Oreochromis niloticus: one gene and its partners. The protein of the gene in region 2 interacts with the protein of the main gene of each other region in a pairwise test. Links are inferred from orthologs where the notes say so. Each region holds a gene or a part of one and is shown on either strand. Other genes may lie near its edges. The genes, in order: efhc1, zinc finger BED domain-containing protein 1 and lrrc20.

Region 1 (7,993 bases), on a different chromosome or scaffold from region 2:
TTATATCTGCCATTTATTTCATGGCAGGGATACCCAATCCAGGAATTTAATTTCTAACACTTATTAGAACTCTAACACAAATCAAGATTGGTGGATTCAAACCTTGGACGTTGCTGTGATGTGACAGTGCTAAACGTGATAAATGTAACACAGTCAGCTTGGAAAGGACAGAATTTCATTTACCTTGCGGTCCATCTTGAGAAACTTGTGCAAATTATCAAATGTGGAAGGTGTAGTGTGACACGGTGGAGGGTTTTCACGACGCATGATGTAAGGATCCGCTGGCATTAGCTCAGGGTCATTTACAATCATGCCTTCACTTTCCATGAATTCCTGTACAAAGAATGAGAGATCAGAACACGCAGGAAGTGTATTTATAACAGCAGACTTCTAATGCATAGTTTCATTTCCACAGCATTCAAACACATAAGGTTGTACCTTAGTAAAGGTATCACACTGGGTAATGCGGTATTTGACCCCATACACGTCCAGGTCCATACCAAGGTTGAGATCTTTCCAATGGTAATGCTCTCCACGTTCATTCTTGGGCAACTGGTGGCGTTTGATCCGCTTTCCCTGTGGTATCCCAGAGTTCTCTACTGTGGGCTCGATAATGCAAATGCTGTCATCCTCTAGGTAATAGTAAATTACCACAGGGCGTACACGGTACTCTTCTTCAGGGGAATACAAAATAGCCTCCATAAAATATCCATAGTAGCGCAGCGCCTGCAAGACAGGTGGTAGTGATGAATAACAGATGAAGAACCTTTATGTTTTTATGAGTTTTACAACTATAGGTGTTACCAAACCTTCTTGTCAAGGGCCACATGAGCAGGGAGGAAGTCTTCATGTACTCTTTTACCAAAGGGGCCATAAGTAAGGTCAGGTGTCTCGAAGGCTAACTCACTAATCTCTTGTTGAGTGAGCTGCTCTGATAAAAGAGGGTCGTTGCCAATGCCCACAGTGGGACGTCGGGGCAGAGCATAACCATTCCTATAGCTCAGAGTTTGGGGTCGATGGAAGGCTGACTTCTGCAAACACAGAGGAAGAAATAAATTAGCTCAGGTAAATACAGACAGAAATGTAATTATATGAAGCACTTATCACTAATTGATGTGGTTTACACTTAAATACCAATATGGGAGTGTTCTGTCCAATGTTACAGTAGTCTGTGCAAGTCTTGAGCCACCCCTTGTGTATATTTTGTTCCAAGTAGCCAATAATTCTCCAGGCTTTCTTAAGGTCTTTTAACGTTGTTCTATTGGCTGCTTTTTCAAGGATTTTAATTCAAGTCCTTGTTCCTGACCATTTTTAGAGGAATTCTTTAATTGTTAACTCACTTGACATTGACCTATGAATGACTGAAGCATTAAAAAAGACACCTAACTCAAGCAATGAGCCAGTGTTGTCTACACATAGCAGAAAACTACAACATAACAATCTAAAAATATATCTCTAGTTATCTTACTAGTATACTGTCACAAAAACACATCATCTGTTCCCATTAACACAGAACACAGAAAACACAGTTTATTAGGCACCCGTGAGCAAAACACAGTGGAGGTCTGTTGTGGTTTGGGGCTGAATTTCAGACAGCGGTGTCAAAATTAATTGAATTATGAACCGAGTTTGATCAATCATGTCAATCCATAAAATTGCCGAAACCTTTTTTTTTGTTTTTTGTTTTTTGCCAAAACACACTTCCAATGCGGTGAAGGCATAACTGGATAGAAAAATACACAAGGGAGCACAATCAGTGATAGACTGGCCTCCCCAGAGTCCAGACCTCAATGTTCTGATAATTCTTTAAATAGCATTTTTCTACTCCCTACAATCCAACATCATTCACCCAAGTGCTTTTTATAAACCAGTCACTCACATTGGAGAGCATCTTGGGGTTAGTATCTTACCCAAGGAAATTTGGCCATACTTGTAGCCAGGGATCAAACCACTAACTGTCCAATTAGTAGATGACTTGCTCTAACTCCTGAGCTACCACCCCTGTTAATGTAACAAAAGGCAGCTAGAATCCAAAGAAGATTTTTAAATGTCCCCCAAGAGGCCTGGGGAACTATTCACGAACACTACTTAAAGAAATGACAAGCATTGTTGCCTAAGAGTTCTGTTTGTGTTGAAGAATAAAGGTGCTCAGACCAAATATTGACTTTCAGGGTGATTAGAATTGTACAAACTCAGTTTTTGCCTTCAGTACTGTATTCCCATGTATGTTTGCACATGTTCCAATACATTCTTGCACCCATTTCTCATTTCCGAGGGGTGGCTCAAGACTACTGAACAGTACTGTAGATCAAGTATTGAGCGCTATGCCTGTAGGAAGACAAAATAACAATAACATCCCTAAAGTATAGCAAGAATGGATAGCAACAATCCTGGGATAAATTCTCTCTGTGTTAACTGTCAACAGTGAATTTGTTAATTTTATGAAAAAATAATAATAATTATGTGTTATTATGATTCAGAGCATTGCTGTTCATTTTTATTAGGGCTTGGTAAAATAAAATAACCTTATAAAAGAACCAATAATTATCAAAGACTCTTTAGAGAACATCCGGGATGTTTTAAAGGTCACTCGAGAGCTGGCTAGTACTTTAGCAACTTAAACAACCTAACTAGTGGAGGAATGTAAGAAGACATCTGCATTATTAAAAAATAATCGACAAATATTTAAAAAAAAAAAAAAGAAAAGAAGTAAAACTCTGTCAATCGTTAATGTTTCAAACTACTAAGCAAACCCTATAGTTTTGTTTAATCATATTCTTACCGTCACATCTCGAAATGTATATCCCGGTAAAAATGGTAGTCCGTGGCTGTTCCAGGTACAAGACATTTCCAGTCTTGATATATATATATATATATTTTTTATCTCCTCCTTTGCACAAGATGTTAGCAGTGGTAATTGTGTAATTTGTGGATTTAACAGCAGGTTTCGTTGGTGTGTAAAATTGCACGAGAGCTCTCACCGTGGTAAGTTTATGGTATCCATGGTAACGACAGGGGCGTCTCAATGGAAACAAAGCAAATATTTCCTAAAACAAAATTAAATTCGCGGTAAAAACCCAAGGAAATACTGAAATTCACAGCGGCAAACACAGAAACAAAGAAATAAAAACGGCAAAAATAAAATACAATATAATAACATGATATTAAGTTGTTATAATTTCTATTTTTTTTTAATTTGATGCAGTATTTTTTTATGTTATACCCACTAAAACAAATGCATTTATCTATATAGTTGTGCTGACTTTGTATAGCTAGCCAAAGTGATTTGCAGTCACTAACTTCACTCCTTATGTGCTGCATTAAAACACACTGTAGAGATCTGTCTTCATCACAAGGTGGCGCTCAATAACAAATCTTACAGATCCAGTGAGCCACTGGCTCACGAGTTCTTCTTCATGCTGTCTTATGGCCTCCTTGTGTAAATCAGTATTATTTATGAACTCCCTGTATTCTCAGTCCTTGAATTAGGCTAAAGCGTCTTCTTTTTCCTGAGACTCACAATATAGTCTTAAAGTCAAAAATATAGGTCAATGTACACAGTTGCAGCTTGTTTTTTCAGAAGAAAGTGCAGAAGGAAAAAAAAAGACGTTATTTTTTAACACAGTTTATTCCAAGCACAGGAGTCATATTTTGGTCTCTCACGTCACCAGTTATTGGCACATTTTAATCCCATTCAAAATTAAACACAACAAATATCTTTGTTATTAAAAAAAAAACAAAAAACTAGGAGAAGTGCAGGGTGTATGTATGGTGGAGGGAGTGTTGTGAAGATGACCTTAATATGTCCTGTTTACTCTTTAATTATGCTCAGAAAAATACCAAACTGATTTATGAAAACTAACTCTACGCTTGAAGTCAGGGAAGCACGAGCAGAACTGGACTGTCAACTGGTTATAAGATTAAAGTGGCGACATGATTCGCCACTTTCTGCAGCGCTGGTTTCCACAGGCATCTGTTTAGCATCTTTGAAATGAATACATGGATGGCGCAAGACCTGAAATTCACACATCTGTCATGAGACAAGACCATAAAAATATTTTGTAGCAAAGTCACTGATAGAAATTGGCATTTACTGGTAATGCACATTTACATCTGGGGAGAAGTGCAATGTTTAACAGACGCATTCAGCTTTTACGCATGGTCCACCTCAGCAAAGGGAATATGCATACAACGAGATGAATTTATGATTTCCAATCAATAAATAATTTGACCAGTTACAGAGAGACTCATCAGCTTCATTTCTGACAAAGAGATGTAACAGCTGGAAAAGGCACTGCACTGTGAGTTAAACATACTGTATCAAAAATAAGGTTTAAAATCACTAAAACCTCTTTGAGGCTCTTTATATGATATTTCTAGTTCTCCTCTTTAAATGCTGGCACAGCGGTTTAAATGGGCCGATCCCCTTCTTAATAACCAAAAAAAAAAAAAAAAACATCAACCAAACACAGAAACACTAGGATTGCATCCCTGAGGTGCTAGACCAGACAACCTTCGCCAAGTATAAAAATATCTCATAATAAACCATACTTGACAACAAAAATACGCAATATTAATAAACTATTAAATATTTTAAAATATATTTCAGAAGGGCTGAGATGAATTCCCACAAAAATATCTTTTGGTTTTATAAAGCTCAAAAGGCAGCATGGTTATTCACTGTGGAAAGATTATCTTACATTGTCAAGTGCACTTGCTTTATGCTACCCCTCTGCTAAAGTTCACACTTGAATACTGGAGGGTACAGAACATAAAGCTGTAAGTGTCACAGTCTCTTCCAGCTGCCTGGGGTTCTGTATAAACAGACCTGTCTGAGGCCTTGGTCCTTCAGTCACCATGTAGTCTCTGCAGGCCTATGTATGTCTAAGGCAGCTAACCCATAAATCCCCACTTCAAAAAGGCCTGCGGAGGTCATGGGCAAGGCAGTGCAGCCTTTCACCTCTTGCTTCCTCCAGCCAAGAGGTAAGCTTACCATACAGAAAGGGAGCTTATTGTTTTACTCAAAAGGGGAATAGCTTATGATACCCAGAGGAATATGCAAATCAGCAGAGAAGGAGGACTTTCTTTAAAAGTCTGCAGTACCTTCGACTTTTCTCATCAGTATGAGTCCAGCTGCTTTTGCATTCATGCTTATAAAGCTTCATCGAGGCCTTGTCCCTTTCCACTCCAACCCAAGTGTGTTCTAAATTTTTGTTCGAGTTAAGTAAGCCGCCTATCAATCGTTCCTCTGCAGTCCTCAGTAATATCGATTGAGGCTCCGTGTCCCTGGGATGTCCGGCTGTCCGTTCATCCAGATCTCCCGGATGATTCGCTCCCTTTCCTCAAGCCTCTGTGCTCTTTCCAGCTCCTCCGCCGACGTGAACACGTTCATGTTGAGCGTACGCTCAAAGCGCCGGTGTCTCCGCGCCGACAGATCTGAGGTGGTGTCCCAGTCTGAGTCCGAGTCGCTGGAATCGGAGGATGAGTCGGGAGGACGCGGTCGTTTCTTGGCGGGAGGCCGCTGGCGGGGCTGGCAGTCGGTGCGACAGGAGATCTGTACTACCAGGGCAAAGAGGGTGAGGAAGAGGCCCAAACACACACCGCAGACAAAGAATAGTGCAGCCCTCTCTGGGTGGTCTGTTGTAGAAGAGAAATTGGAACTTGTTAGTTGACTTTATGAGGAAAATGTGTCGAACACTAAGCTGAGTCTTTCTCACTGGGTTTCTTATTTTTTCCTGACCTGTTTAGCCAGATGCGTTTCACTCAGTGTAATGAACATTGTCTGCACAGCAAGTGTTCACGTGGCTTGGTTTAGTTAAGATGTCTTACAGATTCTGCTACTCCTGGTTTTCATCTTCAACAGATGTCACAGCTCTGATGGGATCTGTGTTTCACCACTGAAAAAACCAAAGTGACTCTAGCTCCATTTGCACGAGACGAGAACAGCTCTCCCTTTTCAATGAATGAATGCCATTTTCAGCTTTGAATCCTTCATGTCTTCCTTGCATTTTGCATGCAGGTACTTTGCATTTGCATTCTGCATCCAGCTTAGCTGCAGATACTTCTGTTTATATTATTGTTCATTAATATAATCAATTTCATTTCTCTTGTACCATTAAGACGTTGAGAATTCTTCTTGAAATCATAACGTGCAACCTTTTTTGCATTCTGAGGAAACCTTAAAAGAAAGCTAAAAGCTAAGTGATCTAAGTAACCACCTAAGCTCATGTTCACTGCATGCCTTGTGTATTTATTTGACCTTCTGTGCTGCACATTTCACTATGTATAAACTGTTTATAGCAGGAAACAGGCAAACTATTTCAGTGACTGTTTTAGCAGCTGCTTAGAGCAGGTGACCCACACTGTGTAATGTATAGAGACATTATCTCTGCTTACATCCTCTGGCCCACATTTACCCACCTTTTAGTGACAAGAAATGGGAAACGGGGATTTTACACACATCAATCCATGCAGTGCAGTCCCGTGGTCACTAATCTCATGGGCCAAGAAGCAACCAGGAGCTGATAATGCTCTTGAACACAGAGGTCCAGCCTTTTTGTTTGCTAACTGTATCTCTTTCCCAAAGAGATCAAGTTTCTTTCGTCCGCCCCTTATTTCCCGAGGGGCTGCCACAGCGGTTGGATCTGCATATTTCGATTCGGCACAGATTTTACGCCGGATGCCCTTCCTGGTGCACCCCTCCCATTTATCCAAGCTGCAAGGTGAATGCATTAACCTTTACACTGTGGGGCCACTCCGTAAGCAGATGCAGTTAAGATCTCTAAAAGTCTAACTGCCAGACATTACGCTATACATGTGATGTTACAGTAGATTTCAGAACAATGTTACCCGACCTAATACGTAAGTGTAGGCTGCCAGTGCGTTACTAATGAGGGCCATGTTGCCACTCGATGTTGAGTTGATGACGGGATTCATGTCCGGGGGACGCAATGGACTTTCTTCTCTTTCTTCTCCTCCTTTTCCGTTTTCAAAAGACTTTTCCTCGTCGGCGTTCGTCTCCCTGGGTTTCTTCCTTTCTGGAAAAAATGTAAATTAACAGGACATGAGTACACAATGAGTAATTTACAGCAGCTACATGTACAGTTACATTATGATGGTGCTGCTTTTACAGTAAATCCAGAATCTGCTGTTGCTGATTCATTGTAATGACATCAGTCTCAGTCGCCTACAGTCTCACAGTGGTTTGGGGAAGATTTTATCACATAAATTTTCTAAAAAGATGCGTCACGCATAAGACACACACACACACACACACACACACACACACGTACACATTCACAGGGAGCTTTGTGATTCAGAAGATAACACAACATCCTTTTCGGTTAAATCCATTCTGACTCAGGTCATTAACAGAGAACCACATGGAAAAGTTTGCACTCTGGAGACATTTCAAAAGTTTCCCAAAATCTTAGAACAAAAAAGTCTATTTATAGATGGGAACGACTACTTCCTGCTCTAGATTTTTCTTTTTTCACTTCTTTCAGTGTTTACCAGCTGGGTTTTGTTGTGCGCTCACTGCAAAGAGAGTGTGAGAAAGAGAGAGAAAACAGGAGCACCATGAATTAATTACAGGGATTCATACTCATGTTACAGCTGCCTTTAGTTTACCTGACGTAGTTGTTTATGGGGTATGGTGGAACTACTGCAAGTTTAGCTCCACTGAAAAAAGCAACCAAACCTCAAACAGTCAAAATAAACAGAAGCATTTAGTTTAGTGACCTGAGCTCTCTGTGTGTGTGTGGTTGCATAGTCATTTTTACATGCTTTATTTCTTTTGTCAATGAAGGTAAGCATACTCTGGTGATTTGTCACACGCAGGAATGACCTCTAATTGCAGAGTCTCTAAGGTGTGTCGGGCTCTCTTTATCTGATAAATGCAGTTTATACTGGAAGTGCTCGCTGATGAGGTAAATGCTTCCACCTGGACCTACGGCTATGTTGCACACATGAGCTAACGTTCAACCGCAATCTG
Region 2 (7,800 bases):
TAAGTCACACAGCAACAGTACATTCATGTAGTTGTTAAAAGCTTGATAATATGTTAAGTAATCCAAAGTATTCAGAATATGTTACTCTCATTGAGTAACGTAACGGAATACGTTACAGAATACATTTTGGGGCATGTAATCTGTAATCTGTAATGGAATACATTTTAAAAGTAACCTTCCCAACACTGACTATGGAGCAGCAGTGGTCACACATGGCAGCTAATCAGAGGTACACTGGGGCTGTGTCCCAATTCAGGGTCTGCACGCTTGAAGTACGCATTTTAAGTGCGAGTACGTCACCGCCACGCGACGACGGCTGTCCCAATTCCAAGTGTACTCCAAATGCGCCGTCGATTTCCCCAAATATCAAGCGTGGTCCGGTGCACGCTTCGTGGTCCCATATATCCCACAATCCATAGCGCGGCGGTGGGTGTGGATAATTTTGCCGCAAAATACGGCAGAAGGGAGCGGCCGAAGAGTGAACTGTCAAAAGTAAGTACTGAATATGATGTCACTTATTTATGTGCGAATGTTTAAGAACATTAAAACATTACTGTTGGCCACGTGTCGGCAAAGTTATGTGACATTAGTGATGTTTGTACTTTCAGCGTTTACTTGGTTTTAAAGCCTCTACTTCTAAATATATATATAGTCGACCTTAATCTTACAGAGAATGTGATGATTTTATGGATAATTAAAGTCAGTCATATATCCACAAACACAACAAGCTGAAAGTCAGTGATGCTGCTCGGTTTGCAGTCCTGAATATGACGGCACAAGCAGGATTCACTGCACTGTTAATGTTAGCTATGTTATATTGCTGCCTCTGTTCGGTGGTGTCGAGCCAAACGGACTTTAACGTGTGTTTGAACGAGCTGACGGTTCACTCGTTAAGCTGAAAGAAAGATGCTTTAATCACAGGAGTCACACATGTGTCCACTGGACCATCTGGAACTCTTCTTGTTTAGCACTCGTAATAACACAAACACTAAATCCTCCTTCTCTTGTGCTGTTTTGTAGCAGTGTGTACACCTGAGACTGTCACCTGTCTGTCTGTCCTGCACTCTCTCTCTGTTTCTTTCTCTCTGATTGTGGAATAAAAGTATGAACATGTATTTATAAGTTACACTTGTGTTTGAATCCTGCAGCTTATCACACATTTGATTTCCATGTGTGACAACTGCAAGTGTCCAGAGTGAGGACAGACTGGGTCCCTCAGTTTGTTTAAGGCTCTGATATCTATTCTGTATGACTTAAAGCAGTTATGACATGCTCTGATTTTCTCACCTAATAAAGGAATATTTCATATATCAGTCTGATCTTCATTCAATCAGAAACAGTTATCACAGCTCGTACATTTGCTTTTTACACATATATGTAAGCATTGAGCCAAATGTAATAATGCCAACATATTGAAAGAACAATGTTCGTCTCTTATATATAATACATCTGTATATACACTGTCAGAGATACTTGTCTTTGAGTGAAGATTTAAGGTGATAGGAAATATAAATAACTGCAACTTGAATCTTTGCCAATACTATAATATTGTCCATATTATATTAACATTACCACAGTGAGATGACTTTAGTCTCATGAACAACATTAGCTAATTATTATTTACTAACTAATCTTGAAATGACTGTTCAGTACAGAAATGAAGCCCAACTATCATGTTTTACAGTCCTGTGGTCTCAACTAATCAAAGTGATGTCATGACAAAAATGAATGAACAACAAAACATTTTTCTCCTTCATTTCTGTCACACAAAGCTGTATGAAACATTTCTCGCGGTTAGTATCATGGTTGCTAGGCAACCTGAACAGCGCGACGAAGGCTAGACCGTCCCATTTCACAAGCCTCGCACTTCCGCACTTCTCGTACTTGTAGTACGCACCGTACGTAGTACGCGTAGTGTGCGTACTTCAAGCGTGCAGACCCTGAATTGGGACACAGCCAGCGATCTGCTGGAGCTCACAGCACGAATCACTGGGATCCTTTCAGATATGTTAAAGTACTACAGCTGATGTTCCCCTACCTGCTGAACTCCACTTTAACCCCTGAGTTCTGTTAGGGTTAAAAATAAAAGTTTGTATTCACATATACTATTATTTTATTACATATTGTATAAACATAGTTTACGTTGGACTAAAATAGCTGGTAAAAACATGCTTCAGAGAGCCGCCACTTATGACCTCTGTCACTGTTTTAATGGACCCAGGCTGTTACAGCTCCACCAGATTTTTCTTTGCATTTCTAAAGACAAAGCAGGGTCTTATGTCACACCTTTACTATAGTGCCTATGAGCTCAGTGAGGTGTGAAGCCTTGTCCCTGGGGAAATTTTAATGCACTTCAATAGAAAAAGCATAGAAACGTGGTTGTAAAGGGACAACAGTCAGTGCATTCACCATCACAGAAAGTGTACAAACATGAATCAGTGTAAGAAATAAAAACAAATGATTGATAATGAAAATTAAATGAACCTCCTTTGAAAACATGATTATTCTGATGCAATCGGAGTCACTTTGCGTCTCAGCGCAGGTACAGGTGGGTCACAGCCCGCGCAGGTGCCCACAAGGAGACGGACTCACCGTAAGAATCATCTCAGTTTAATCTCATCCCAGCATCCAACCGTTTGCGAGTTAGAAAACGTTATTTAACACCTGTTCAGCCGCAAACACACTCACCGCCCGTCTCTGACATAAATCACATTTTCCTCACACTATCGATCGGTCCAGAATTACAAAGACAACTAACGAGTTCTTCAAACTCTCCGTTTCCTGTGACTAGTTCTTACAGCTGACTGAACAGCTTTATACCTGCACGCGCTTCTGTCGATGACGACATCAGTACTGCACATGGATCATGATAAATATGCATCAGGCACAAACGAGCAGACAGTCAGAGAGCTTTGTAAGAGAGAGAAGCGGAGCTGACCTGGGAGCGTAAAGGAGCGGTTGAAAATTTGGTAGAGAAGAACTTTAATTCCGCATAAGTACAGTTTGAAGAGAGGCACCAGCACCGACTGAGGCGACATCCTTCTGCTTCCCACACCGAAAAGCTTCCGAGTCCGAGTGTGCTTCCGTTAATGAGTCCGAGTGGACGCCTCACTGGGATAAGTCTGTCAGTGGTTCCGCCCTCTTTGCGTCATAACTTCTTGAGGGTGGAACCAAATGAGCTGAAACGCATTTTCTTCTTTTTCCTCAGCACATGTTATTCAGCTAAAGCTGTGAACACTGTTTAGTTTGAACAGCCACAATCAATGCATCCTGCTGTCGTTATGTCAACAATAACAGTATTGGTACTTTGTAGTTTCTGATAGTATAACCCGCTGTGTATAAAGAGGCTGTGAGCTGTTTGATGGCCTTATTTAGACGTTATACTTATTGGGCCATAGCAGCTGGGTTAAAGTAGGGGCAGAGATGAGGTGCCATTCATCAACATTAACAACAATAAAAATAGAATACAAAATAAAACAATATATCGCAGTGGTGGGACAGGGGTACCTTGACACAGAGCTTCTGAAGCACAGTGTGGTTTGTTTTTTGTCACATGCACTGGAGCTTCAGCTTCACAGACCATCACTACTAATAACTAGTTTACACATCAGGTAAATGTTAAAGTCATATTTTCCACCAGCTTAACCAAACTTGCCATACTAACTGAAATTTCTATTCCTAGGCAGACATTAACCAGTCCCAACTGGAAGACCTACAGACAATAAAAATATGTCAAACTTGTTGTATGAGTGGGGCTCAGATATTTTCTGTTGAGGATTTCTGTTGTTGCTGAGGGAGCTTTACAGTGACACGAGACTGTAATCTATCACATAATAGTTTGGATTGAAACATCCCTCTGAATGATGTAAACTCAAACACTAAAGCTTAACTTAATACTGCTTTAAGTCTAAATCCTGGTTACAGTGTAGTGATATGCTCCAAACATTATCTATGCTGATTTGTAATACTGCAATGATGCAGACTGCAAGAACAGGTTCAGCTGGCCACAAAAAGGCAGTAAATAAATAGACACACAGATAAAGTCTCCAGGAAATGAAATCTAGGAGCATTTTTAGGGCCTCCAACCTGAGCGGTCTCTCAGATAAACTCACCTCTAATCTAGTTCCTCCTGGTTCTTTGCAACAAAAGCATAAATATTAGTAAAGATGATTGATTTATTGCAAATATTTAACAAATCTTGATCTCGTCACCAATAACACTGATGTTCAGACTAGAATAAAAGTCCGTTTTTAAAAGTGAATATTTAGCTCATTAAATCAAAGGCCAATCAGTTTAGATCTTTTTGTAATGCTGCTGGATATTCCAACAAAAAGGAATGCAACAAATCTGTCATTAGTCACACACTCAATAAGATTATATGGGTATAAAACCCAAATCTGCATCTCCAGAAACACTTCCCTCTTTGTCTCACAGTGTAATGCATTAGTGATTTTCCACTCTATGGTCACATGCTTTATTCACTCAAATTAAATTAGTAACACTGCTCCTTTCAAAAAGCTCTAGCTGTAACTCCACCTGTCTACATACTTTTGCTAACAAACAGACATTTTCTGGTCTTCAGCAGATTCATTCTCCACATCTTTGGCTGTAGTTCAGGAGTTAGAGCAGGCCATCTATTAATCAGACGGTAGGTGTTTAGCCTACCATATACACTACAATAAAACTAATATGGCTATTCAGTAGTGGTGGCCTAATGAAGCTTTCTGAAGCGTTGAAGCTTGTACTGAGGAAGGCTTAATTACTCAAAGTTTTCAATACAGTCTGCTTTGGTGCCATCTGGTGGGCAAAAACATGAAGCGCAGCTTGAATCTACAAATTAAATGAACTGCCCACTCTCAGAGCTCAGTTGGCAGTTTCTGTTTAATATAATGTGACAGTTCTGAGTGATCACTGAACATGTATTTGATTGAAAAATGATGTGATGTCCACTCGACTAATGAATCATTTTAAAGAAGAAACTTTCCTTGTTTGATCATGTGTCATGCTGTGTTCTCCCTTTACTTGATGACATTTGTAAAGATAACAGATAAATAAAACATTACATATATTACAGTACAAGACACTGTTATAATAGGTTGGGAGTAATGCTTGTGCTGTGAGGTCCCCGTAATTGTGACAGGTACGTTTATATATAACATATTACAGCTTATTTGTATAGTCTATTTCTTCTTTATGGTTGTGAAGGGGTTGGGAAGCGCATCTGTAACCGGAAGGTTGCCGGTTTGATCCCTGGGCTCTCAGTCCTGGTCGTTGTGTCCTTGGGCAAGACACTTTACCCTACTGGTGTTGGCCAGAGGGGCTGATGGCGCGATATGGCAGCTTCGCTTCTGTCAGGGCAGCTGTGGCTACAACTGTAGCTGCCTCCACCAGTGTGTGAATGTGAGAGTGAATGAATAGTGGCATTGTAAAGCGCTTTGGGTGCCTTGAAAAGCGCTATATGAAATCCAATCCATTATTACTCCTGACATTTTGGACATGTTAGCTCTTTATGCAGTAAAGTTACAGTGGGATACAAATAATATCAGGCTGATCCTGCCGTAATTTGTTCGTTCCCCCGGTTCAAATCACGGACAAACAGTATCCCACAGCTGTTTTTGTTTTTGAACCCATTTTGCACAGAGAGACATTTTTTAAAAAAATGTATTGACAGCAATGTTGAATATTATTACACAGGAAAAAACAACTACACGTAAAATAATTACACCGTGACGCCTCTGCCTTTCTAAATGGAGGGACAGTAACTGTGTGTAAAACCTGAAGATAGTCAGATTAACAGTATTTTGTCTCTATCTGCCATTCTGCAATTCATCTCATGTAAACAATAACGTGGCGCACAGCGTGACGTGAAAAGAGGCACATACCTTTGTCATTGCGTGACGAACTCTGTAATCCTCGTCCACACGTAAACGCAAAAAAGGAGTTTTAAATAATCTCCGTTTTCGGTGAATCGCAACGCCGTTTACGTGTTGACAAAAAGCCCAAACGCACAGAAACAGCTGCGTTTTCAAAAATACCCGTGTAGGTGTGGACGTAGCGTAAAAGAGTTAGTAGTGTATTTTATTACTACCTGTAATTTATTGCCGTTTACTTGTATTTGCTTAATTGTTTACTAAATGTTTGAGGTGTGAAATAAACCGCAATGGAGTTTGTAAACAAAATATGGGTGTGTGTGTTTGGAGGATGTGTTTGTGCGGGGGGCGCGAACATTTTTCTTGTAAAACAAAGGGGGGCCTGGCAAAAAAGGCTAGGGAACGACTGGATTAACTGAAGGCTTTTCAGTGAGTTTTTAGGACATCCTGATAATAAAGAATTACAGTAGTCCAGCCTGGAAGTAATAAATGCATGAACTAGTTTTTCAGCGTCACTCTGAGACAGGATATTTCTAATTTTAGAGATGTTGCACAAATGGAAGAAAGCAGTCTTACATATTTGTTTAATATGTGCATTGAAGGACATGTCCTGGTCAAAAATGACTCCAAGGTTCCTCACAGCGTTACTGGAGGCCAAGGTAATGCCATCCAGAGTAAGAATCTGCTTAGATACCATATTTCTAAGATTTTCAGGGCTGAGTACAATAACCTCAGTTTGATCTGAATTAAGAAGCAGAAAGTTAGCGGCCATTCAGGTCTTTATGTCTTTAAGACATTCCTGCAGTTTAACTAATTGGTGTGTGTTACCTGGCTTCATGGATAGATAGAGCTGCGTGTCATCTGCATAGCAGTGAAAATTTATGCTATGTCTTCTAATGATGCTGCCTAAGGGAAGCATGTATAATGTAAACAGAATTGGTCCTAGCACTGAACCCTGTGGAACACCATAATTGACCTTAGTGTGTGAAGAGGACTCTCCATTTACATGTACAAATTGGAGTCTATTAGATAGATATGATACAAACCACTGCAGTACAGTACCTGTAATACCTACAGCATGTTCTAATCGCTCTAATAGGATATTATGGTCAACAGTATCGAACGCAGCACTGAGGTCTAGCAGGACAAGCACAGAGATGAGTCCACTGTCAGACTACTCAAAAACACAACTGTGTTTGAGCAGGAACAGGAAGTGATACTCTACCGCAGAGAGAGCGGACACCAAGAGAGAGCAGAGAGAGTTCAGCCACCTGTCTCCGCTGGAGAGTCCGGGGGCCCGTCCAGTCGTCCTCTGTTTTAGCTGGGGGTTCGGGAGAACCCAGCCAGTATCACGCCCCGTCAGCTGGTGGGTCCGAGGAGCCCGTCCAGCATCACACCTCGTCAGCTGGGGGTCCTGGAGGACCCGGCCATCACATCCTCGTGTCCGCTGACGGCTCTGGGGAGCCCGTTCAGCCACCACCTGCTCCACCACCTGCAACTCCCACACCGTCGCCTACAGCATCACCGCCTGCAGCTTCCACACCGTCGCCTGCAGCATCCTGTTCCGCAGCTGCCACGCTGCCGTCTGGTCCCGCAGCTGCCACGCTGCTGTCTGGTCCCGTGGTTGCTACACCGCCATCAGATCCAGCTCGGCCTGTACCACCTCGCCTTCGCCGGCCGCTCCCCAGGCCCTAGCTGGACATCATTATCGTCGAGGGCGGCCTCCTGAACGAGTTCTGTCGCCGCCACTCCCTTCGGTGTCCAGACCTGTTCTGTCGCCGCCGCTGCCTTCGGCATGGCCGGCCTCCGGACCTGTTCTGTCGCCACTGCTGCCTTCCGCGTGGCCGGTCTTCTGATTTGTTTCGCCTGTGTCGCCGCCACCGCTGCTGTCTGCACGGCCGGCCACCTGAACCGTGTCTGCGCCACTGCA
Region 3 (7,241 bases), on a different chromosome or scaffold from region 2:
ATGAATGGGTTATGTTGGGAAAAAGCATAAGCAGCTTTGATTACTGAAATCCTCTCATCATGAAGTTCTAGAGGACATATATTATTATTTTCTCACCAGATAAGCCTGCATGTTCATTAAATGTTTCATTTTTTAAATTTAACTGACTTCTGTTATGAGGTAAATAAACTTTCAATTGAACTGAAAAACATTTTAGGTTAAAATAATTCCTGTTGGCCGATTAAATCCACTAAACAAGCAAAACACATAAGGTTGAAGCTGTAGGCCTTCTTATTGATTTGCATCTTCTTTAATAAAGCTGTTACAGGCTGCACACTGAAAATGTCATGTCATAGTTAAGATATATGTTGCACTTATACCTTACATAAGTTTATTAATTTGGTAGGACCCTACATTATCAGAAAAGTAACCTTCAACAATCCAGTGATCACCTTTAACAAGCACTTGGAGATTTTGAGGAAGGAAAAACGCTTAGAGAAATAGATTTCCAGCAAAACCAGGCTAACAAAGTTGCAGCTATCTACCACCTGTGTGGTGAGGAGGGAAAGACAGCAATCTAATGTTTGGTAATATAATAATGGTGATGTTTTGTTTTTTTTAATTTCCCACACAGGTGGTTGTTTGTTGGTTTACATGCATCAGTAACACACAATAATGGTCCTGATTTTGGCATAATAATCAGTCATTATAATCTGTGTCATACAAAGTGCTCTTCAATTATGCTAATTCTTCCATTTTTGCTATATCAGATTTGACGTACAGACATAGATCCTGGGTGGCGACCTTTGACCTCCACACGCTGGGAGCTGACAAAGAAATCCAGGCAGCAGAGTTGAGAATCAAGCTACCTCGGACAATGAATGTTTCCAACATTAGTGTGGAGGTCTATCACCACCATGACCAGGATCAGCAGCTGCTGGCACTGCTCACAGAATCGTCACTAGTCACATCATCGCAGAGCTGGAAAGTATTCAACATGACAAATCCCCTCTTGAGCTGGCTTAAAGAGAAATCAACAACAAGAATTCGCCACAAGCGAGTGTCAAGAAGAAGGAAAGCGATAAAGAAAAGGCGAGGCCTGCTTCTTCCCGATGAGCTCGTTTATGAAGCAAGTTTGACAAAAGACCAGGATGTGAGTGACCGGGCCTTGCTGGTTATCTTCTCACACACAGGGTTTGATGAAAACTCAAAGGCTAAAGCGAGCTTACTCCATACAGCTGAACAATCCAAGTTCTTCTCCCCTGCTGAAATCAAAAAGAGGCGAAGGAGCAAACGGGGCCAGAGAGAGCAAACAGCAAGAACCCCACAGCTGTTCAAAAGAGTGAGCGAAAAATCACTCTGTCGCAAAGTGGACCTGTATGTCGACTTTAATCAGATTGGCTGGGGGTCCTGGATTGTCTTTCCTAAAAAGTACAATGCCTACCGCTGTGAAGGCTCCTGCCCTAGTCCTCTGAGAGAAGACTTAAATCCAACCAATCATGCCTACATGCAGGTGAGTGCCTATCTAGATTTTCTGTTCTTACACATATTCATATTATCATCATAGGAACATTGCATGCAGACCGTTTAAAAATTCATATGCACACAATCACTGGCAGATGGATGCATCAGGGACAATTTGGAGTTTGAGCCACTTACCACATCTATCTATCTATCTATCTATCTATCTATCTATCTATCTGTCTGTCTATCTATCTATCTATCTATCTATCTATCTATCTATCTATCTATCTATCTATCTATCTATCTATCTATCTATCTATCTATCTATCTATCTATCTATTTAAAGCAATTCTGCTAACTTTTAAAATACCAATTACTTCACAATGGAAGTGGCTGAACTGTAGCTAAACCACTAAAGTACAACTTATGGAAACAGTACTTCAGACTAATATGTAATAAAATAAACTTTACGTGATCAAAAATGATAACAACTATGAAAAATCTGCAGGCAAGCAAAAATACCACTTAACTCAATTTACCGGAAGTCCTCAGTGGCTCTTGAGTCAAATAATGTTTATCTAATTATGTAATGTAATGTATTATGTAATACATTATTAGTAATAATGTAATAATGTTTTTGTTCACTAAAAAGAAAAAAATTGAGACATTTAGCTACAGTAATGTGTTAGATCAGAGACATATCATTGTGAAAATGCACTACAAACTGGTCAAGTGTGTGGCGGTGGCTGTCTGATGGATGTCTTAACAATGTTAACTTGACACCAGTTAGGACTGAAGAAAAAGGGTGGAGGGCCTCTCCAAAGGGGTTTTACAAACAGTAGAGAACAGTAATGGTAAACTATATAAAAAAAAATATTCCTGTGTTTTTCTACCCATCTCAAATACTTGAATCACTATGCAAATATGAATCATAGTTACTAGTTTTTTTGTGTGTTTTTTTTTGTTTTTTTACATTTGTTCATTCAGTACTTCCCAGCAGCAAACAAGCCCAAGGTTAGCCACTGAGGTGTGACTTAGAAATACTGGCAATGGTTAATATGTAACATCAGCTGCAAACGAATAAAAAAGAACAATTTAACATTAGTTAGAGTTTCTATAGTCCCTGCTGTAGGGAATTAGAAGAGAGGGGTTGAGGCAAGGTAAATAAACAGATGCAAAAACATCACATTCTTTTGACTTTTGTGTGGCAAACTGGTCTGTGGGTTGTTAAAAACAACCAAGAGAGCCCTGGAAGGGTCAAATTTTCTACGTTCTTGTACAGTGTTACAATGTTACAATGAAATAATTGCCATCCATCCATCCATTCTCTACCACTTATCTTTTTCAGGGTCACAGGGGGCTGGAGCTTATTTCAGCTGTCTTAGGGCGAGAGGCAGGGTACACCCTGGACAGGTCGCCAGTCTGTCGCAGGGCTATGATAATTGTTTTATTATTTTTTGTTTTGCTAATTTAGTAAAACATGAGGATTTGAAACTTTTTATGATAACAAATCTGTTTGTACTCCCTTTCCACACTATGAAAAAGGGAAAAACAAGATATCATTTTTTAATCTCAAATATGACAATTATTTATCAGAACGTCTGTGGTTTAAAGTGGTTCAAAATATTATGTTAAACACAACAAAACGTATAACAAATAGCTTAAATGAACAGAAATGTTCAAAATACAACAATCAACAAAGCAAAACAACTTACTAAATTAAGTGAAAAGCTGAATAGCAAATATCAGATGACAGTAAGTGGCTCAGTATGTCAGTAAGCTAAGACAGGATAACGCTATTACCAGATTTCTTTAAAGAACTGCAGTTATCTACAACTGACCTAAAGCCTCTCTCTTTCTTTTTCCAGAGTCTCCTGAAGCATTTCCACCCCGACAGAGTGGCCTCACCCTGCTGTGCACCAACCAAAATGAGCCCACTGAGCATGTTGTACTATGAAAATGGAGAGATGCTCCTTCGACACCACGAGGATATGATTGTGGATCAGTGCGGGTGCCAGTGAAAGCTAAAACCAGCTGCAGAGCAGGCTTAACACTGTACAGAAATTCTTGACAGAACCAAGTAATTTCTGAATATAAAATAAAATAAAATAAAATAAAATAAAATAAAATAAAATAAAATAAAATAAAATAAAACATTTATACAGAAGGAAGAAAGCACTGCAAGACTGTGTCGGAGAGTTGTACAGAGACAACATTTTGATGTGTGATGTAGGCTTTGGTTTGTTAGAATAGTTGCATCTTGAGATGTACCAAAATGTGAACTCAAAAATGGGGTTCACCTATTGTCACAAACTGAAGTTCATTCACTTTAAATTATCAATTGTTATAATTGTAAATATTTAATGGTAATGCTGATTAATATTTCAGCACAGTTTTATTGTTGACTACCATTTGTGTATATTGTTATAATGGCTATTTATATTGTTATATTATTGTAAATATTAAAATAAAATTACTTATATGTACATGTTGCACCCTTAATATGTATTTTGTTATGCTGGTTAAAAATTATATGGTGTCTAGTTATATGTTTTTTAAGATGCTACAGTTTCATGACAAATAGCATGGTGAAGCTTATGTTTAGCAACAGGATTGTGTGTGAACTGTTTCACAAAAGCACTCACACTCAAAATAGGTGGACTTTTCTAGCTGTTTCAGTCATCTACAGTAAGTGACTGCCAAATTCCTCTTACATTCAAAATAAAGCATTGTAAAAGGAATATCCAGCCAACACTCTAAAGTTGCAGTTTGTTGTAACAATGCTAAACTAGGTTCTATTCTTCTAAAGCAATAGAGCTCATTGTATTCAAATCCTTTGAAAATATACTGACTAACCAGGAACTTGCCAGATTCATGACTATGGCAGAGGTCAGACTGGCAATAGCTGACCAGGACACAGAGGTAAGACAACATTTAACTTCGTAATATCAGTTTCCACTCAGGCAGATGTGGTTATAACTATTTAATTATAGTTGAATTAACCAGCAACTATTTAAAAAAATCTTTTATACGTGTTTAATACATTTTAAATATGATTTAAGTTATTTAGTTGTGGTATTTGCGCCTTATTACTTATGGAATTCGTGTATAACGCTATTTTTTTGTTTTATATTTTAAATTTTCGTGTTCTGCAATTTCAAAGCGCAGGACTGACGCTCGTGAATATCACGTCTGTTAGCTAGCAAGCTGACCGAAGCTCATGTTTCCCTAACCGAAGCTAAGCATTAACTTGCTTTTGCATTGTTTGATAACTTCTTTGCTTATATGAGGTGATGCTAATGTATCGTACTGACCGAAAAAATAGCGCAGCAGCAAACAAGTGAGCCAGCCTCTCCCCTGGTTAAAAATACACACTCGTTAAACTTGCCTGGTGAGTTGAGAAGCTGAAGCTAAGTTAGCTAACACCGGCAGCTGCCCGTTTTGGTAACACTAGCAGGCTTGAGGTAAGTGACTTTTTTGACACAGAGCATATCTATATGTCTGTCATTGGGGGAAATTATATTAGTCTGGAAGTGTAGGTCTGACGTAGGTCTAAAGATTTTTATGTTAGCATACATGCTTTGTTTACTAGCTTTATGGTTAACCAGAAGTGAAAAGTGATCTTCATGAAGGCTCCACTGAAGCAGCGTTTCTGGGGTTTTATGTTACTGTTTCCACTTTGGGGACTTAATGCGTTTTAATATTGAAGGGCAAAAGGTGAATTTTTCTCAAGTACTCTGTAATTCAATGTAACAAATGTTTTATAAGTTGCCTTTAATATTACTTTACCACAAATTAACAGATAGTTTCAAATTAATTTAATTTTGTTTTAATTTGAGGAACAGCACTGTGTCTTTTTCTAGATCTGGAGAAAGCATATGATAGGGTCCCAAGAAAGGAACTGTGGTACTCTTAAGAGGAATTCAGGAGTGATAGAGAAGTATGTTAGGTTGGTGTAGGACATGTATGAGGACAACAAGACAGTGGTGAGGTGTGACAGAAGTGAGAGATGGGTTAAAGGCAGAGGTGTGATTCATCAGGGATCGGCTCTGAGCCCCATTCTCGTTTGCACTGGCAATGGACAGGTTGACAGGTGATGTCAGGTAGGAGTCCCCCTGGACTTTGATGATTGTTTAGAAGTGGAGATATGCACTAGAGAGAAGAGAAATGAAAGTCAATAGAAGAAAGACAGATTTCACGTGTGAGAGAGAGACAGGTGCAACAGTGAACCTGTAAAGGCAGTAAATGTAGATGACTTTAAATACCTGTGGTCAACCAAACAAAGCAACAGAACAGACAGTGGACAAGAGAGCTGAAAAGCAAGGGCAGTTTGATAGTGTGGGTGGAGACCAGTGTTGGGGGGATGTGTGACAGAAACGGCAAGCAGCAAGAGTGAAAGGAAAGGTTTACAAGATCTTAGTGATACCTGTTATGATGTATGTTTTGGAAATAATACTGCTGAAAAAGAGAGGAGGCAGAACTGGAGGTGGCAGAGTTGAAGATCTTAAGGTTTTCATTGGGAGTGATGAGAATGGATAAGATTAGAAGTGGGTATATGAGAGGGACAGTTGAGGTTGAGCAGTTTGGAAACTAAGATTGAGAAGCAAGGCTGGAATGGTCTAAACATGTACAGAGGGATATACTGAACAAAGGATGCTGAATGTGGAGCTGCCAGGCAGGAGTAAAAGAGGAAGACCACAGAGAAGATTTATGGATGTAGTGAAAAATGGCATGCAGAGAGTTTGTGTGACAGAGAAGGATGCTAGAAGTAGGGTGAGATAGAGGCAGATGATCCACTGTGTCAGCCCATAAAACAGTCACAAGAAGAAGACAACTCAACTGTTTAACCTGAGCTGTCTTTTGTTTGTGACTACTGGAACAAATAAAAAAATCCTTGCTAATTTTTCTGATCATTTTTTATTTTTTGATTGTTGATAATCATTTTTTTGAGTACAAATTAGTGCTAAACGAACAGAACTAGTAATAAAAACTTAACCAGTTCAGAATGTAAATGTAGATAACCAAACAACTAAGACCTTAATATTGTGCCAGTGCTACGTTTATTAAGCTAGAAAAGAATATGAAGAAGAATATGAATCCATCTGACTTCGTGCTGTTAATACACTTGGAGGTCAGGCCTTTACATTAAATTCTGTTAGAAATTGCCTTGTGTAAATAAAACCAGAAGTGCACAAAAATTTGGAGTGTGTCCACGTTAAACAACTAAAGTGAGACATTAATCAGTACTAGCAATCTTTAATGAGATTTAGCCTTAGAAGGTTCATTTTTAGCCTGTGGCTAAAGATAAAACAGGCATCGACTGTGTTGTGCTGACTTCAGTGGGATGTCAGCATGGGCAGCAGCTTTGACTGATAGTGTAGTTACGATTTTATCATCTTACCATTTATATGTGGAGGTATGTGTAATGTTGCATTGTGTCTCTTAGGAAAAGTTAAAGCAGAAAAATGGCTGAGGCTGTTGCAAAAGTGGCCCGGAGGATTAATGCTACCGTAGAGGAGGGAAAAGATAGTGTGGGTAAGATACACTTTAACATATTCTTTCCTTTGTCTCTCACTTAATCTTTGTTCAGAGCATATAAATGAATTTGTTGTCAGAGATAGTACCAGCAGGTGGCAACATAGGCTTAAATTTGACGGCTTCATAACTTGAAATGCCAGAATGTAATAATAAGAATAGTAAGTAATAATGTGTAATTGTCAGACTAATTATAGATTTACACTGTGTTAATGTTAATGTTTGATTATTTTATAACTATGTTCTTCTTCTTCTCCGCAGAC

The links.
Region 1: the proteins of zinc finger BED domain-containing protein 1 (region 2) and efhc1 interact in binary tests that used the Homo sapiens proteins (3 or more experiments, as listed by UniProt). The two-hybrid records come from large-scale screens. The link is inferred for Oreochromis niloticus from reciprocal best matches to the Homo sapiens genes ZBED1 and EFHC1.
Region 3: the proteins of zinc finger BED domain-containing protein 1 (region 2) and lrrc20 interact in binary tests that used the Homo sapiens proteins (3 or more experiments, as listed by UniProt). The two-hybrid records come from large-scale screens. The link is inferred for Oreochromis niloticus from reciprocal best matches to the Homo sapiens genes ZBED1 and LRRC20.

The regions. Positions count from the first base shown.
Region 1 is NC_031980.2:12,763,858-12,771,850, reverse strand, and holds the start of efhc1 (EF-hand domain-containing protein 1), read right to left. Parts: upstream 3,017-7,993; 5' UTR 2,849-3,016; coding exon 2,783-2,848; intron 1,032-2,782; coding exon 810-1,031; intron 727-809; coding exon 439-726; intron 334-438; coding exon 184-333; intron 1-183. Other genes in the region: eva1aa (protein eva-1 homolog C), read right to left, coding at 5,258-5,637, 6,855-7,037. UniProt on the Homo sapiens protein: Microtubule inner protein (MIP) part of the dynein-decorated doublet microtubules (DMTs) in cilia axoneme, which is required for motile cilia beating.
Region 2 is NC_031986.2:2,929,092-2,936,891, forward strand, and holds the start of zinc finger BED domain-containing protein 1, read right to left. Parts: upstream 3,076-7,800; 5' UTR 3,039-3,075; coding exon of another isoform or gene 2,939-3,038; intron 1-2,938. Other genes in the region: dhrsx (polyprenol dehydrogenase), read right to left, coding at 2,939-3,038.
Region 3 is NC_031973.2:12,226,719-12,233,959, reverse strand, and holds the start of lrrc20 (leucine-rich repeat-containing protein 20), read left to right. Parts: upstream 1-4,162; 5' UTR 4,163-4,365; intron 4,366-4,612; exon of another isoform or gene 4,613-4,907; intron 4,908-6,889; 5' UTR 6,890-6,908; coding exon 6,909-6,978; intron 6,979-7,239; coding exon 7,240-7,241. Other genes in the region: ndr2 (nodal-related 2), read left to right, coding at 750-1,492, 3,312-3,464.